2 linked regions of the Danio rerio genome follow. The protein of the gene in region 2 interacts with the protein of the main gene of each other region in a pairwise test. Links are inferred from orthologs where the notes say so. Each region holds a gene or a part of one and is shown on either strand. Other genes may lie near its edges.

Region 1 (3,115 bases), on a different chromosome or scaffold from region 2:
CCAGACGATACCTCTTAACAAAATTGAGGATTTTGGAGTGCATTGCAAACAGTAAGTGTGCATGACATATTGAATATATTTCCTTTTTTTTAGCCTTTTTATGCACTTGTTATATTTTGAAAATATATTGACTTGCAGTTAACGATAAGCTGTTGTTTGTTTTTAGGTATTATGCATTAGAAGTGTCTTATTTTAAGTCTTCCCTGGACCGCAAACTCCTAGAGCTGCTGTGGAATAAGTATTGGGTCAACACTTTGAGCTCCTCAAGCCTACTGACAGTAAGCACACACTTTTATTGGTGTAAAATTAATATATATTACATTTAGATATGTGCCAACATCATCTGTCATGTTGGATTACTTAATATAAACGGCATAAATTTAAGTCTAGCCTTTTTTTTTTTTTGCTTGGAATTTGTTCTTAAATCAAAAAATGGCCTGAACCACTGTAAATTGTTACAAAAATATAAATACAAAAAATCCAAAATCTGAATTTCTGACCAGTTTCTAAAAACATCTACAGTAAATGTGATGAAGGGTGACAATATAGCTTTTATGAAGCAGGCATGCATGTATTCATTTCTATTATATAAGAGATTGCAAATACAATGAAAAATTGAGGAGCATAGAAAATCACTTTCAACCTTTTCCCTGTAAATTGTTTAAATTAAAGGGCTTCAGTTCTGAAAGCTACATTATGTTAATTTTAGTTTAAACATTATTATCTTTTCTGCTTGGCACAGAAAGGAAATTTGTCTTTTACACTGGTAACATAAATAAACCGTACAACAATAACATAATAGCAACACTCTTCAAGACAACCATATTAGCCCCATACATATTACTCCAGATTATTCTTAACAACCGCACCGTTCACATTAAACAGTGGTAAGGTTTAATACAACTGCAATAGGGATAAATGACTTCTTATAAGTATTTCTTCATGTTCCATGCATTTTAAGCTTGGTCCCGATGGTAACATTTCAAAAGCTGAGTGAAGGGGATCTGTATTATCTTTAAAAATCACAATTGCTGTTTTTCCCATAAAGGAGTCAAATAAAATCTGTAACGAATGTTGTATGTAAACTGTTTTTGCAATTAAACTGTCAGTTACATTTAGTCATTTAGCAGACACTTTCATCCAAAGCGACTTACAAATGAGGACAAGGAAGCAATTTACACAACTATAAGAGCAACAATGAATAAGTGCTGTAGGCAAGTTTCAGGTGTGTAAAGACAGTGTAAGAAGCAAAACATTAGTACAAGAAGCAAAACATTAGTACAATAATCTCTGCAAAATAAAGTTTTTACAAAGAAGAGAAAAGAATGATTTCAAAATCTGTTGTCCCCAAAAAAGCATTTCCAATGAGAAATTAACCCTCAAATTTTTGCCAAAATAAAGCAAAGTAAAAACAGCATAAATATAATTTTTTTCTCATTTTATAGTTCTATTATTAAGGCTGCATGATGTTGGACTAAAACTCATATTGCAATATTTAGTTTGTCTGCAATGTATATTGCGATAGTAACATACAGTGCTCAGCATATATATGTACACCCTTCACAAATCTGTCTTTTAAATTTTTAATAGGAAGCTTTACAATAATATATGTGTGCATAAACATTAGACTAGTCTGTACTGAAGTCAAATCTGGAGCTTGTCTAACAAAATAACTTACGATAACGGTCCAAAAACTAGTACAGTCAAATTCATATGTTATAAAAAATATTAAATACAAATTTTAAAACAGAAAAAAAAATTAAGTGAAACAAAAAAAAACTGAAAATTTTTGTTGAAATTTTGTAGGTAATAAATATAAATATTTTTTGCATTAATTTGCTTAAATTTAATTGTATTATCTTACAATTTGTAAACATGTTTGGTGACTAAAATATTCTTTTAATAAATATATCTGTTTTATAAATCTGTTTTGTTTAAATGCACCAAAATACATTGCCTATATTTACTGAGAAATGGATACAAATATTCAAAATGGGGTGTATTCAATTATGCTGAGCACTGTAAGTTCACAAGATGGCGTATAACTCCATTTGGAATGAATTCATGTTTTTACATTTTGTACAGTTTTACATTTTGTATTGAACAAATATAAATTCATGTGATGGTTTTCTGCGGAATCTAATAGTATTAAGGTATAGAAATTTTATAATAACAGATAAAATAACAATGTATAGTGTACAGTCTTCATAGTACAAGTAGTTAAATACAATTCATTTTGGTTTATATACCTTTATAACCTTTTGGTTTAGGTTTGCTTAAATCATACACAGTCACAGGTCTTAAAAATTCATCTAAATGAAAATATTACACTCTATTTTAGGGTGAAACTTTGCAATGACTCCACAAATCCCATGTTCAGAACTGTGATGCTGATCAACTACAAACTTGACATTGCATATCCTGCGATATGAATATTGCTGATTCACACATTGCAAAATTGATGTTGAAACAGTATATTGTGCAGCCCTATTATACATGCAATTGTATATTGTTATAATTCAATTATTTAATGATTATTATTATTATTATTATTATTATTATTATGAACTTAAAGATTAATTTAAGTAATTTCACAGTTTTCACTCAGCAGCCATTGGCTAGAGTGTAAAGTAGTTTTGGGCATTATATATAGAAAGAAAGAATGTATATATTAATAATAATAATAGAAATATTATACTTGTATTAATCTTTTTGTCACTTTGCTAATATTCCAAAATCATCTCTTCTTTCTCCTGTTAAGATATTCACATATTTATTATCCTGGAGCTTTGCATTCCTAACGGTTTAAGCATTTTAGGAGATTGCAAATATGGCAGGGGGGCTTGTTGACAACCTGTGCACATGATTAATATTTGTAGATGCTGCTTTTGTTTCCCTGCCTATTTGTTTTGAAAGCTTGTCATCGTCTTCTACGACATTCTGTCATGAGCTTTGTTTAAGGCTTTCGTTGAGCTGTGGACTATCTAAACAGCGGCCTCATGTGCTGCAGATAAATTGACTACTTGTCAAGAGCGACTTGCTTCTCCAAAGCAGAAGTGTTGTCAGCGATTACATCGTCACTATAGACCTTAAGTCATATCGAGTCTGTGTTTAT
Region 2 (3,763 bases):
AACTTTTAACCTTGTAAAGTTAAAAAAAGTGACTTATTTACTTTTTTAATAGCTTAAAGTGATATACTGTCTGGTTGGTGTTGTATATTACGCTACAAAAACATTGTAACAAACATTTTCTATTCTTTAACAGACTTATTTCTTTAGATATTATTTTTATACATGATATTATTATTTCAAATGACTAAAATGTGAATAAGTCACTTTGTGCACTTTTGATGTTAAAAATACAACAGAGGAGAGATCAACATAGCATAATGCAATTTGCCACCGCAAATAAACCCAAAACACACAAAATAGAGAAACTGTTCACTAATATATTTTTTACAGTGTAAGAGGACAAAGTAAAAGCACATGCATATCAGTATGTGTATGATGCTGAAATCACTACTGCAGAAAGTACAAGTAAAAATGGGTCAAAGCTGCTGCAGTGCTAAATCTGAAGTCAGACCCGCTTATGAAGGATACATACCTTAATAATACATTTAATGTTAGTCTAAATAATAATATCTGCCAATATGAACTGTGTTGCATATAAAAATTAAACAAGCGAGAAATGTTATGTAAATGCATTTCTTCACTGTATACAATAAAACTATAAAATCTTGCATAATCATTCTGCCTTTATTGCACCTGCTGCTTTTATAATGCATTCCAGAAAGCAATTATATTTTGCAAAGATACAATTCATTGTATAATAAAATATAAATCTATTTGTATAGTGCTTTTCACAATAATTCATTTCAAAGCAGCTTTACAAAAGGTGCACATTTCATTACAGTCAATTCAAAAAAAAGCTAAAATGTTGTAAACATAGTTGGGCTCATACACATTTTTACTACTAAAATTTCATGATTTTGCCAAGACTTTCATGTAAATGTTCATGACCTAATGTTTCATGCAATGTCTACATATGCGTGGTAAAAGAAAAGCAATGCATGTTCAAATTTATTAGAGCATAGCATAAAACATGCAACAATCCATTTACTTTCAATTTATATCCATGCAAAATTAATTTAGATAATGCTTACACCGCACTAATAATATGAGAGTATGTGATTGGCCAAGGACAGAAAATAAGAGAAAAGCCTATATTCAAGTATTTGTCATGACTTTTCTAAAACTGTGTAGGTTTTTCTGTTTTTCCAAAACTTTTCCAGGCCTGGAAAATGCCATGTAAAAATTCCATGACTTTTCCAGGTTTTCCATGACTGTATGAACACTGTATAACCTGCAGTTGTACAGGATGTGATGTCCTTCCCCCCCTAAAAAATATATTTACATGTAATAATAATACATGTTTAAAGTCATAATATAAGCAAATACAGTGTTCATATTCAATCAGAATTAAGAGTTTATCATGTTTTAAAGTTCTCATTTTCAACAGTTTCATATTGTTAGTCATTAAATAAGGTTTTAAGATGTCTAATTAAAGCAAGGATTTTTAATAAACATTTTATAGAGATGACACCCTCAAATTGTATAAATTTGGGTTGAACTCAAAAATATTGTTTTTCCTAGCGCTAGAAATCACACTTTTGACATTTCAAGCCCTGTTGTTAATTTTAATGACTGTGGTACACTAATAAACAGCTGTTTTGATGCTCAAATATGTATTCAATATCATAATATCAGCATTAGTCAGTGTACTAACGTAATGTGTTTACTGAAGCACCGAAACCGCGCGTACAGCTTGGCAGTGTCACAAACACCAGTGAACTGCCCACACAGAGTGTATTTTATAGTCAAAAGTACTGTCCATTCGAAACCAACCAATAATATATAATCTTCAAATATATCAGTATAGTGTCTATGTAGAAAACTCTGTATTTGACACACAGCCGTTTGTGTCAGTGAGCAGAGCTAATGCGCAGCTAACTCTCGCTAGCTCAGCTAACGTAACATCCATAAAAACGACAGAGTTGATAGATCAAGCATATACATATACACACACAACCCTTATGGCAATTATATAGTTACTTATGTTATTAAAAGTACATTTTAGCTGTCACTTGGCTTGAAACTCACCCTCGAGCAGGCGCTGAATGATGCTGTCTATGTTGAGTTTGTCGATGTCAGCCATGACTAGCCGATAAAAACACAAACACCACCGCTTAAAACACACCAGACACGACAGATAAAACGACTTCGATTAAAAACAAACTGGTTAATCACAAAACTCTAAAAGAAAAGATTAAAATGCTCGAGCGGGCCCGTTAGACGCGCGTGCTGCGGCGGTGGCGCACCGGCTCTGCGGAAGGACACGCAATTCGGCTCGGTTTCACCGCTGATGGAAACGGGAGGGCGGATGAACACAAAGGAAAGGAAGAAAAGTAGTGCGGAGGAAAGAGGAGGGCGTGCCGCTGACTTTCACAATAACGTGTGACGTTGAATGTTAATTGCAATGAAAAACTTTTAAAAACACATGTTTAAAACATATCCTACACATTAACATAATTATTTATTTTAACCAACAACGTCTTTTGGCATGCTGTTATTACAGTAGACCTAATACAAATATTATTTCATTTGAAAAAATTGCATTATGCATTTAATTTATGCTGATTCGGGTATACACATGTACTAGTATTACATTATTTGACAGTTCTGTTTATGTTAATTAACCAGATGCCTTGTCAACTGTTATTTATTATAATAACCTAATAAAAAATTATTAATTTTGGCATAAAATCTAGTTTTACAGTATTTGACATGACCTTTTATATTAACTAACCACATTTTTTTGTCAATTGTCATTCATTATAGTAAAAAAAATATTATTTAATTTGTAGTATTTTTGCATTAGAAATTAATTAATGCTGATTTTGGCATTAAAAAAAAACTAGTTTTATAGTATTTGACATTACTTTTCATGTTAACTAACCTCATCCTTTGTCAACTGTCAATACCATTACATATTTTGTCATTTGTGGTAAGGTATTTACTCAGTATGCATTTAATTCATGCTAATTTAGGTATTAAAAATACTACAGCATTGCAATGCAGGCCCGTAGCCAGCCTATTAAAAGGGTTCTCAAAAAGTGGAACTTTTTGCAGCTATTCGGCTCATTTTTATCAAATACATTGACATTTTAAGCACAAATTTTTGGATTAGCTTGTCGGATGGTTATCATTACAATACTTTTTGACGCAACAAATATTTTCCTATATTTTTGTCAAAGTGCTTACCATACTATTAACAAAAAATTGTGTTTATTTACAACTGTGCATTTAAAATTTACACTATTACTTTTTACAAATAATGTAATGAGATTAGAATTTAAATTAAACATTTTGAACTAAGAAATTCGAAAAAATACTTATTTTTTCAAATGCTAATTTATTATTATCCATCATAAAATAAGGAATCTGTTCAAAGTTGTTTTAAATTAAAAAACTTAAGCCTATATTTAGAGAAATTATCAACCTACGTCACAGGGGTTCCTGGTGTCAATAGTAATAGTTGTGCGGTAGGGTGCCAAATCCAACTTTTCAAATGCAGCTTAACATTTACCGTACACCACACTGCTTTAATGCCAACTGCAGACATATTTAGCTATAAGGGAGCTGAATGGAGTGAGGACCTAATTAGAAATGCTGGACTCTGCAGTTCTCATGTTATATCAGGTGAGTTCACGCTATGCTGAATCAGACACGTTACTGGTTTTTGATTGCAGCAAAAACAGTTCAATATGGTTAATTAAACTGCGGACACTGAATGCCTAGAATGAAATGTGTGTTCACATAACCTGCTGTACAGGTG

What was found.
Region 1: the proteins of ppp1cc (region 2) and cops5 interact in a two-hybrid assay, tested with the Homo sapiens proteins (2 studies listed by BioGRID and IntAct). The link is inferred for Danio rerio from reciprocal best matches to the Homo sapiens genes PPP1CC and COPS5.

Annotation. Positions count from the first base shown.
Region 1 is NC_133199.1:27,640,368-27,643,482, forward strand, and holds part of cops5 (COP9 signalosome complex subunit 5), read left to right. Parts: coding exon 1-51; intron 52-166; coding exon 167-278; intron 279-3,115. UniProt on the Homo sapiens protein: Probable protease subunit of the COP9 signalosome complex (CSN), a complex involved in various cellular and developmental processes.
Region 2 is NC_133180.1:2,464,290-2,468,052, reverse strand, and holds the start of ppp1cc (serine/threonine-protein phosphatase PP1-gamma catalytic subunit A), read right to left. Parts: upstream 2,266-3,763; 5' UTR 2,084-2,265; coding exon 2,029-2,083; intron 1-2,028. UniProt on the Homo sapiens protein: Protein phosphatase that associates with over 200 regulatory proteins to form highly specific holoenzymes which dephosphorylate hundreds of biological targets.